Linked DNA regions of Nothobranchius furzeri. The protein of the gene in region 3 binds, or shares a complex with, the protein of the main gene of each other region. Links are inferred from orthologs where the notes say so. Each region holds a gene or a part of one and is shown on either strand. Other genes may lie near its edges.

The links.
Region 1: rbm48 (region 3) and cript share a complex: the UniProt entries of both Homo sapiens proteins name them as parts of the minor spliceosome. The link is inferred for Nothobranchius furzeri from reciprocal best matches to the Homo sapiens genes RBM48 and CRIPT.
Region 2: rbm48 (region 3) and srrm1 share a complex: the UniProt entries of both Homo sapiens proteins name them as parts of the minor spliceosome. The link is inferred for Nothobranchius furzeri from reciprocal best matches to the Homo sapiens genes RBM48 and SRRM1.

Annotation. Positions count from the first base shown.
Region 1 is NC_091756.1:43,772,443-43,776,096, reverse strand, and holds the start of cript (cysteine-rich PDZ-binding protein), read left to right. Parts: upstream 1-708; 5' UTR 709-849; coding exon 850-865; intron 866-1,023; coding exon 1,024-1,089; intron 1,090-1,372; coding exon 1,373-1,427; intron 1,428-2,213; coding exon 2,214-2,317; intron 2,318-3,654. Other genes in the region: pigf (phosphatidylinositol-glycan biosynthesis class F protein), read right to left, coding at 41-268. UniProt on the Homo sapiens protein: As a component of the minor spliceosome, involved in the splicing of U12-type introns in pre-mRNAs. Involved in the cytoskeletal anchoring of DLG4 in excitatory synapses.
Region 2 is NC_091758.1:35,720,242-35,723,894, forward strand, and holds the end of srrm1 (serine/arginine repetitive matrix protein 1), read right to left. Parts: intron 3,514-3,653; coding exon 3,433-3,513; intron 3,077-3,432; coding exon 2,990-3,076; intron 2,883-2,989; coding exon 2,747-2,882; intron 2,642-2,746; coding exon 2,558-2,641; intron 2,460-2,557; coding exon 1,986-2,459; intron 1,903-1,985; coding exon 1,710-1,902; intron 1,624-1,709; coding exon 1,447-1,623; intron 1,336-1,446; coding exon of another isoform or gene 1,330-1,335; exon of another isoform or gene 1,314-1,329; coding exon 1,203-1,313; 3' UTR 523-1,202; downstream 1-522. UniProt on the Homo sapiens protein: Part of pre- and post-splicing multiprotein mRNP complexes. As a component of the minor spliceosome, involved in the splicing of U12-type introns in pre-mRNAs. Involved in numerous pre-mRNA processing events.
Region 3 is NC_091759.1:22,195,804-22,199,556, reverse strand, and holds the start of rbm48 (RNA-binding protein 48), read right to left. Parts: upstream 2,348-3,753; 5' UTR 2,333-2,347; coding exon 2,204-2,332; intron 2,053-2,203; coding exon 1,862-2,052; intron 1,791-1,861; coding exon 1,645-1,790; intron 1,561-1,644; coding exon 1,031-1,560; intron 936-1,030; coding exon 873-935; 3' UTR 1-872. Other genes in the region: peroxisomal ATPase PEX1, read left to right, coding at 2,770-2,877. UniProt on the Homo sapiens protein: As a component of the minor spliceosome, involved in the splicing of U12-type introns in pre-mRNAs.

The DNA.
Region 1 (3,654 bases), on a different chromosome or scaffold from region 3:
AACAATTCACTTTAAAAACATTATCTAGTTGTTTTGGCACCTTGTATCCCAGTGTGTGCTTTTTGGTGGGCGGTGAGATGCCGAGCAGCCAGAAGATAGCGACGCTGACACAGGTCACCGTACCGGACACCGCGTAGACCCACAGCAGGTGAGTCCCATACACTGAGAAGCCCGGGACAAACACCGCGGGGATGACCGTGGCCATGAACACCGAGGCGGTGATAATCGCGTGAGTAGACGCCATAGCTTTAATTTCATGGTCCCACATGATGAAGACGTGAACTATTTACAACAAGAACCCGATAACGATGCGGGGAAGTCAAATAAAACACCTAAAAAACGTAAGGTAACATTGGGAAACTGTCAGGTCTATGTATTTCTTTTCCGCGTTTCCGTAAACACGAAGACGTAAGAACGTCCGCTTAATTTCACAGTAAAAGTCTACTGCGCACAGACATCTTAGGTGAATGATGAAAAAACATCCGTTTCGAAACATATTATCATAGATTATCGGGTCAGTTTATTTCAATTTCAAGTGAAAAAGGTGTATGTTTTACTTGTTACTCAATCTCTGCTAATGAATACGCTTGGGTTAAATAAGGTAAAAGTGCTTGACTTTATCAAACATTTATTTTGAAGAACCTATAAGCAAATAAACGGGAAGTAGTAAGTTATAGTTCGCGTTGCGTAACTCAATTGTTTTAACCAATCACAGAAGATGTTACTCGTTAAAGCAACCAATGAAACCTGTCATTTGAAATGCCTCAGCTGACCGGACGTTTACATTAGCAAAGCAAGCTAAAGCTAACAAACGATCATTTCTACTGCGTCATTCGACACACCGCAAAGATGGTCTGTGAAAAGTGTATGTATGTCATTTGCTTCTGATTTTCAGACGTATTGTTCATTTTAAAATCTGATGAACGTTACTTTTGTCAGCGAAAGTCTCAAATGCAAACTAGAAGGCCAATAGTTTAGTTCTTATTGTATTTTCCTCCATAATTGTTTTGTTTTATATTTTAGGCGAGAAGAAACTGGGAAAAGTAATTACCCCCGACACTTGGAAGGACGGAGCACGGAATACAACAGGTGACCCGAGGAATGCGTAGTGAAATGTTTTTTTGCCATCAGTATGATAAATTGCTGTTTGTTAATTATTCTAGATATGAGACTTGTTGTCTTGTTTACAAGTTACTTTTGAAAATGTAATCATTGTTTCTATATTTTTTCACGTTACTAGCAGGTTTAGTCCTCATTTGGTTGATCACGCCATAATATAAATTAATTGGTGTTTATTTTTTTTATATTAGTATAGGTATAGTAACATTTAGATGTCCGTGTTTAACAAGTTTGTCTTCTTTCTTTGTGTCAGAGAGTGGAGGACGTAAGCTAAATGAGAACAAGATTTTGACATCCAAAAAAGCCAGGTGAGTAAAAACAATTTATAGAAAAAAATAAACTTTAATTACAACAATCTAATGAATGTAAATACAAATATGAGAAGTCAGAGAAAATATTCTAAACGCATTAATATACTTATCTTAAAATTACCTTCTTGAAATTGAACCAAAAACTGTTATTTTACTAAAGTTCAACCTTATCATATAAAACTTTCTCACCACCATATTTGCTTGGGCATACATTTTGCTGCATTGGCACAAATCACCACATGAATCATCATTAATCATCTGTCCTTAGTATTTTACTTTATGAACCACGTTTAAATCCTGATCTTCTTCATTTCTTGCAATCATAACAGTTGATTTTTACATCATAGCTGGAACACACTCTTAAGTAACTGTTGCAAACCTGCTCTGAAGAGTAAAAGACCATCAAATCTTCAGCAGTCATGAGATGATTGGTCATTATTTCCCCATTCATCCACTCTTATGCTCTCTTAGTTAAATAAAACTTAGATCGTCCATATACAAGTTAAAGGGAATAGGTGACAATATCTGGTGAACCTTATTAGTAACAGAAAAGGAGTAGCTCTCATTTGGTTTTTAGTCTGATTGTAAGATTTGTATAGAATATGAGGTGACACCTTGTTCTTAAATCTTCCTAAAAAGCCCATCATAATGAACTCTTATCTGAACTATTCCTCAGAAGAAGTCACACAACGGTTTAGCTACTGTTTTTCAATGTTGTATATTACTAATTCAAAGTGGTCAGCTGATATAACTGGTCATGTGTGTAACAATTATTTTCATCAGGTTTGACCCTTACAGCAAGACTGGCTTCGCAATCTGCAGGATCTGCAAAAGCTCAGTTCATCAGGCTGGATCTCACTACTGCCAGGGCTGCGCTTACAAGAAAGGTATGAAGTGATTGTGCTGAAGATTTAGTTTTGTGTCACAAAAACGCTACAGCATTTCTATTAGCCCTTTTACATAAAACACACACACACATGCTCTCTATTCAACACCCTGCTGAGTTTTTCACATGTAATCATGTCACCAACAACATTATCCTTTTCCTCTGAGACAAATCCATCTGCATCCTATAGGAAAACGTGACAGTAACTGGGACGAGTTGTGAAACTGCAATGTTTGTCTGTTGTTGAACAATTCAACTTGTGACTTTTCTGCTCAGATGTTTTCATTTTTCAGTGTGTCTTAGTGTCAGAATCCGGAGAAAATTACAGCCTCACATCAACAGAGACTGTACTTGCATAATCTAGAGCCATTCTCGATAGGTTTGTTTGAATACAGTGTGTTTGTACTGTATTTAGGCTGAATGATGAAATGTAAACAGGGCTTTATCTAAAAAGGCATATCTTGATGAACATTGAAGCAAACTGTCTTAGTTGCAGGAAATGAAAGAGTGGAGTGGCCATGTTTCAGATGGTTCATCAAACATGGAAGATGCTCAGTGAAACAAATCATCTTTATAGTTTGCTGAAGTTTTCTTTTTTATTATAATGATTTCAAGGCCTACGTGTCCCATTGAACCTGCTGCCTTTGGTATGTCTTCATGATGATGCCTAGGTAGACTCACAATTAGGAATAGGGCTGCACGATATTAGAAAAACCTGCGATATTCGATAACAGTGTTTAATATTGCGATATCGATATTACTCACGATAAATGAACAAATACTAAAGTATGCAGTGTTGATGTCGTCTGGCGTGTGACGTCTGCTCTGGGTTCAAAGCAAACAAAACTAATGCATGAATTCCATTACAACATAACATTTTTATTGCAAAAATATGCAGCTGCACCTGCTACTGTATTAGTAGCAAAACAATAAACTGCATGCATGCAGTTTCTCAGTGACTTTAAAACATCACCTCCACCATAAAACTTTTTCTGATGCTCCAAATGCAGAAAAACATCCCTTACCAGGGTTTTTGAATAAATAAAAAAATATCAGAAAATAAGTTTAAATGTTAAATAATAGTTAACATCACTTAAATGGAACAGCAAATTCTCTCATTGCTACTGAGCATTTTCTCCACTTATGTGGTTATGATATAAGGCTGTTGCTGCTATTGGGAAGTGAACTGTGCTGGGCCAAACTAGGAGAATATTAAGATTTTCTGAGGGAAAGAGAAAAACAATTGTCTACCTTTCAGAAGAGGAACTGGCAAAAAACTACATGGAAAATATGTGAAAACGTTTGTTTTTAACCCCAAATTGAACAAGTTTACCTAGA
Region 2 (3,653 bases), on a different chromosome or scaffold from region 3:
CCACATGGCGGCTCCTAAGTTTTTAGGAATGACATCGATTTTTCCTGGTTGTTGAAACAACTTCAGACATTTAAAGACGCCTAATATGAGAATCCGGGACTTTTAACTTTACCCCGTAGACACATCAATGTCTAATTTACCCTCGGGTCTAATCTAGTGACTCGTACTTTTAAAAGGTTCGCACCATTTAAACACCGGCGTAGACTTGTCGGAGTTCGCATACAGCTCATAGCGGACTAGCGCCTGTCACAACCCCAGCATGAAAATTAGTTCAGAATGATCAAAATAATACATTTGTTGTTCTTAAACTATATATGTATTTGTTTTTCATAGAGACGCCTCACACTCCCTTCGTGTCTTGCAGCTGGGCCATGCGCCGGCAAACGCGGAAGAGGTGAACCCACAAGCTGTTTACGGAGTTTCTGGAATTCTATGATCATCAAGCACCTTCACGTGAAAATATCAGCAACTGCATGCTAACCAATTCACCATTGGTAGACAAACAACCACATGAATACAAAATTTAAACACGGATCCTAAAAAAGTTTTAATTCTGAAAGGATGACGTGACAGGAACCAGGTTACTAAATACAAACCATACACTATAGCAGTCCCACAGAAATTAGCTCAATACAGGGGTTTTTAACAAAAATTGCATATCAATCAGTTTAGAAAAAAATTAAAACATGTTTCATCCTTAAGATAGATTTAATCTTCAAACAAGACAATTTCAAAGTTGGAGAAAAAAGCAGGTTAAATGATGCCCATCTCTAAAACCGGACGTTTTGTTACAGCCTTGACGGACTCACAGTAGTGACTTGGTTTCCACTAGTAAAAGGCGTTAGTAACAGCAGATTACTTGATGGCGTTCTCACCAGTCAATGGTTCATGCACATCGGAGACAATGCACGTGCTATCATTTCTCTATGGAATCTACTGTACACAGACAAATATACCATTAACCTGCCCTACTCAAACCTCTGAAATGTAACGTTCTTCTTGCTTAACAAATTCAAAATATTAACACAAGTTTCTTTACAGTTTAGATAATAATCTATCCCACAAATCAAGTGAAGGAAAAACTCTCCAGAATGTACCAAACCAATTAAAAAAAAAAACAAGAATCGACAATTTGTACATTCTAAAGCTGAACCAAGTTGATGAGAAACATCAAAATAGGAAAACTCAGAACTTTCTTGTTCTCATGACATTTGTGATGGAGACATCTGGGCCTTCCTCATCGAGCGCAGGGCCTTCTCTCGAAGATGTTTTTCCAGATCGTCCAAGCCGTCGTCGGCGTCACTGTCTGAGTCCTGAATAAAAAGAATGTCAGACCTTTAACTAAAGTTTAGCTGCCTGAATACACACGGATTCGATGTTGGTGTTTAACATGTGGTCCCACCGAAACGATGAAGAGATGAACTAAAACAACAGAACAAACGTTACCTTTCTTGATTCTCCATCCTCCTCCGCACCGCGATTCTCCGCTACGTCTCCCGGAACAGCACCCCCGCTGCTTTTCTCCTTCTTGTGTTTCTTGTGTTTTTTGTGTTTCTTCTCCTTCTTGTGTTTCTTTTCCTTCTTCTTCTTCTTTTTCTTTCCGCCACCTTCAACATCTGATATCTGAAAACAAACATTATTTAAAAACACTTTTAAACTGTTTGTTTTCAAAAAAGAATGTTGTGTCATATTTAAGAGTAAATTCGAACCTTGCTTGGAGACGGGCTGCCTGAAGCACTACTGGGTTTTTTGACTGGAGGAGGTGGGGGAGACCCACTGACTGAGCGAGAAGGAGATGGGGAGGCGGAAGCAGGAGCTGGACCTTTCTGCGGAGCTGGCAGGGGGGAGACTGACCTCGATCTGGATGATGCTCTCCTCATTTGCTTAGGACTTGGTGAAGTTCTGTTAAAGCAATAAAAGTTGTGTAAAGAAAACTTTCAAAAGACTTACGGATTGCGTCGAACCATTCCTTGCATCTCGTTTACCTCTTCCTGTGTGGTTCTGGAGTGCGGGACACCCTGCGAATGAGCTTGCTGCTGCGTGAAGGGGACGGCTGTCGCCTCTGGTTAGATGGAGATGTACTAGAAGAAGCAAAGCGTCCCTGGGGACTCGTGGATCGTCTGACAGCCCGACTGCGGTTTGCAGGTGAGGGGGACAGGCGTCTGGCAGACGCAACAGGGGATCGTGTGTCCCTGCCTGGCCTGGCTGGCATGGGGCTCCTTTTGTGACGGGGTGGAGATGTGGACGAAGGAGGAGAGCGCCGTCTAGGACCAGGAGAGCTTCTGCGTTTAGGAGACCTAGAGAAACGTCGCTTGGAACCTGGAGAGGAGCGTCTCAGGGGTGAGCTAGACAACTTCCTCTTTGCTGGAGGCAAAGGTGAGGGGCTGTAGCGGCGCTGGATGGGAGGAGAGTAACGTCTGGGGGACATAGATCTACGACGTGGTGGCGGTGAAGGAGACCTGGAAAGAAAAAAAGAAAAATTGTTGAAAATCAATACTAATGAAAGTTTTTTTAATCCTACCCAGTAAATCCATATAAAAAGATCATTGTTACTAGCCTGCGTCTAGGAGAGGGAGATCTGCGGCGGCGTGGGGGAGATGGAGAGCGACGTCTACGTCCAGGAGATGGAGAACGTCTTCTTCTGAAGGAATAATAACAAATAAAAACATTTGTTCAAGAACAAATGGAAACATAAAACCTTAACAGACGTCAGATCATCCAGATACTGAGGAGATAAGCGTCTGACCTTGGGGAGGCGTCCCGATGCCGCCTACGAGGTGATGGTGTGCGGCTACGCCTCCTCCTCACTTCACCGTTTCTGGCTCCTGGCCCTGTAGCTGACCTCTTAGGTCCCTCATCCTCTGATGATGAAGATCCTGAATCTGAAACCACATGAAACAAATAAAAACTTTTTAATGGCCTTTTACTGTATGCAGTAAAGGAAAAACACCAAAATCTAGGGTTAGGACGAACGAGGCTGGACACAGACCTGAAGAAGATTGCTGATTCTGCCTGCGATACTGACGTCTCTGCTGCACCGAGTCGGCTGTTGCCCCTTTTTCATTTTTGTCCTCCTCTGAAAAGCAAAGCATCGGTTGTCTGATCAGTGTTCGTACCACTCTACAAAAGCATCATGTAAAAGTGACAACCAATGCTTCTGTCTTACCAATAAGACCCGTTATGCTGTGTTTAAATGTAACGGAAGGAAAGTTTACAAAAGGAAGCATTCTTAAAAAAATCGTTGAGCAGGACTTTAAGCTGTTATTTTTGTGGAAGAGGAAAACATTTTAAAAAACACCTGGAATAATTTAGTCTAAGCGATTAGCTAATCTGGATCAGTAATGACCCTCGGGTGATGGCACCTATTTTATGGAGACTTGCTGTATAAACGAAGTACGATCTGAGCTTCATTAGGCCGAGGATTTGACTTACCAGAGTCAGACCCATCAGAAGCTCGTGCTTTTGCATTAGCAGGTGGAGAATCATCCATTCTTCTTTGTTTTTGCTTTAAACCTAAAACCAAAACATTCAGTTTTAGATGCATTTATTGTAACCAAGTTAATTTAAAGATCACGTCACCTCCAAATCAACTTTTTTTCTGATAAACTATATAAATGTGTGTCTAATCGTGCTGCAGACACGTGTAGTCAATA
Region 3 (3,753 bases):
ATATTTACCTTGAAATAATTTGTATTGCTTGATTCCCACCTTGATTACAGCCATGGGCGGAACTTGATTTCTGTCCATTTTGGGTCCCAGCCAGATTCTCTGTGCTGACTTTTTTCTTCCCTCTTACCGCTTCCCTGCTGCTCTCTCCCTCATCATGCTCACTTATGCATGCTGGTCCTTGTTCTGCCTCTCCACTTGTCTCTCCTTCGCTCACCTCCTGATGGTTGGCGCGCACCAGAGCGGTGTCCTGAGCATGGCGACAGTAACATTCTCAGTGTCTCCACGTATAACACACGATTGTTTATGTCGACTCGTGTCCTTTTTATGCTTCCTGTCTTTTATTTGTGCCCGATGCGTTTTGCTGCTGCGGAGCGAAGCGCATCACCTGTTTTGTCCTCAGGTGACTTCACCACACCGGTGCGCCCTCGCTAATTTAGCGGTCGGTAGATCTTTTTGAACTGCAGTTTAAAGTTTTGTTGCAATAAAATTTATTTTAAACTGTGACTATGGTTAGTACACATGCACAAATATAGACTATATATGTCTCGTTATTGTTTTAATGTATATCCAAAAAAAATGTTTCTGAAGGTACGTTGTTTGAAGTTTTTTTTTTGTTTACTTCTGAAGGTGTGGCAGCTTTTATTTTTCCGTAGTGGCGCGCCACGGCAACATGCACATAGGAAACACAGTATTAGTATTTCTTTAGCTTTCTAAATGTAAATTTGTGCACTCTTTACATAATAGCTGTTTTTTTTAACCTTTTTTATACAGGTTGGTATCATAGCATACAACAGCCGATGAGATAAACAGTTTTCCGAAGCAGTGGGAGCGTCGGTTTTCTTCCAAGACTCCCATCTAGACACCTGTCCAGATCATATCCGACGACGTGGTTTTGTCTTTTTCTCAACAGCTTTGAAACCCGGAGCAGATCCCACCTGAAAAAAAAAAAAAAAAGATTCACATGTTTTAATCCTTCATTAAGGCTGATTTACTTTTTATGAAATTATTAAAGTACTGAATCAACAATGACCTGTTTCATTGTGTTCCTGATCAGGCTGGCAGTTGTGTTCAACGAGTCATCATTCATGTCCAGTTTAGGTGGTTCTGGTAATTTCGGTCCAATCAGGGTCTCGGTTCCTCCAGAAACACTTGCCGACTGCTCGGGAGCCTCTTCCATTCTGCGTTTCCTGATCTCCAAGTGCGAGGACCTTGGGAGAAACCTGAATGCTGAAGCCTGATCTGAGGTCAGTCTGTGTTCTGTGTCGTGGTCTCTCTCTGAGGCTTGGTTAACGCTTAACTTTTCCACTTGGGGCTGTTTCAAGTTTATGATGGCATCATGTAAAGTTCCCATTTTGTCCTCCTGTGCGCTGATCCCATGTGGACTGTTATGTCCAAAGGGATGCTGCTCCCATGGAGGTAATGGGAGAGGAGGGAATTCTGCATGTTGGCTGTGGTTTGAAGCATCCTCTGCACATTCTTTTTTAGAGGTTTGATCGTGTCTGACGTTTATGTCTGATGCAGTCGTCGATGATGCGGAGCCTTCGCTGTGCGCCGCTTTTGCTTTGTAAGAGAAGATTTGTTTTAAAGCATTGAAAAGCAACATTTAAAGGTCAGAACTAAATCAAACATGATGTTAAACGATACCTCTGCTCCGAGCTGCTCTCATAACATAACCCCTCCGGTCCTGTAGCTTTAGCCTGGTGTCTTCTACAGTCTCATACTCTGGGACGTAACACACATGCAGCACACCGCCGTAGAAGCTTTTCTCATCCATGTTGCGTTTGGCTGCTCTGAAACAGAAACATTCGATAACGATTAAGCAGGTATTTCCAGTAAAGTATGAGGAGCGAATAAATCGTACCTGGCGCTGGTTAGCTTCTGGAACTTGATGAGGTAGACTTCTGTAAACTCCTCAGCCGGATACTCGTCCAGAGGTCTGTACTCCTCCACAACACCATACAGGGCACACAGCTGGACCAGCTCCGTCATCACACCGATAGCTGGGACTCCCAGTACCATCAGGAAACGGGACTCTAGGTTAATGGTGTACACCTGGAAATTCACAAGACTAAAGTTACATTTCCTGCGTTCAGTGCAGTATTAGAATGATGTTACCAATTAAGCTAAAGCAAATCTTGTGTGTCTTCTTTACAGAATTTATGAACATTTTAGCTGAAATTAATAACTTCTAAGATTGTCTCACCTTAACCGCTTTAGCTCTTCTTCCTTCTCGATACTTTGGTCGAGAAATGCAAACTTTCTGCTGTTCGTGATGTTTGTGAACGTCAGGAACTTTCCAACAACCGGAGCTGTTGTTTACAGGGACCGCCATGCTTATTCTAAATGCTGTTCCGGTTTAACACTTTCAAAATAAATGCTTTTAGTTCAGTGAATGCGTCTGCACTTCCGGTTTAACACTTTCAAAATAAACGCTTTTAGTTCAGTGAATGCGTCTGCGCTTCCGGTTTAACACTTTCAAAATAAATGCTTTTAGTTCAGTGAATGCGTCTGCACTTCCGGTTTAACACTTTCAAAATAAACGCTTTTAGTTCAGTGAATGCGTCTGCGCTTCCGGTTTAACACTTTCAAAATAAATGCTTACAGTTCAGTGAATACCGTCGCGCTGCCTGTTAGAATACTCTTTTATTTTGAAAGCAAAAGATCAACTACTTTTGCCTGGTGAGGAGTCCATCGTCCACAGAGCACATCGATAAATCCAATTGCTCTCTCTGCCTGGTGTATGCTAAGCTAGCTAGCAATGCGAAAATTATGTTTAGCAACCAGGGAATTCAAGCCGTTCGTGTCGTTTTTAACAACACAAAAAACTGCTTTCTTCACCTCCCTTCCAAGTTGGTAGCGCATCTTTCCTTGAACGAGGTAGGTTAGCTAACTAATTTCATGTTGATTTACTGCTTTTTAGATCATTTCTGTACGTTAAGACTTAGTTTTAATGTATAATGTCTGTGCTAGCATAAACAGATGACAGTTTTTAAACGACTAGCCGGGTTGTCTTATGCTCAGATGAAAGTACTTTTGTTTGAGATTTTATAAACATGCAAAGCAAACAGTTACCTAATCAACGACAGCTGCTGGTTTTTAGGATTTTCAGGTGAATTGCTTCCTTGACATCTATGTTTGCCTTATTTTACTGCATTAGAGACTTAGAGAGACACACTTAGACTACTGTAACTCTCTTTTCACGTGTCTGAGCAGAACCTCCCTGAACCGTCTACAGGTGGTTCAGAACGCCTGTGCTCGGCTTCTGACCAAGTCCTCCAAACGCACCCACATCACCCCGCTTCTCCTCCAGCTTCACTGGCTGCCAGTCAACTTCAGGGTTCATTTCAAGATCCTGGTTCTGGTCTATAGAGCCTTACATGGACAAGCACCATCTTACATTGGTGATCTTCTTAGTCCCTACACCCCCAGCAGGTCCCTGAGGTCCAGTGATCAAAGCCAACTGGTTGTGCAGCACCAGGCTAAAGGTCAAAGGTGACAGATCATTTGCTGGTGTGGCCCCCAGACTGTGGACCTCTCTCCCCCTGAGCCTGAGATCAGTGGACTCAGTGGTCTCCTTTAAAAAGCAGCTGAAAAGTCACCTGTTCAGGCTTTGGTGGGACCTTCACCACCCTCTCCTTGTTCTGCTCTTTGCACTTATTCCACATTTCCGTGATCCACTGATTTCCCGCTTCCCTATTCATTTTCTCTCTCCCTTTCCTTGCATCGTTTGCATTAAAACACACACACACACAC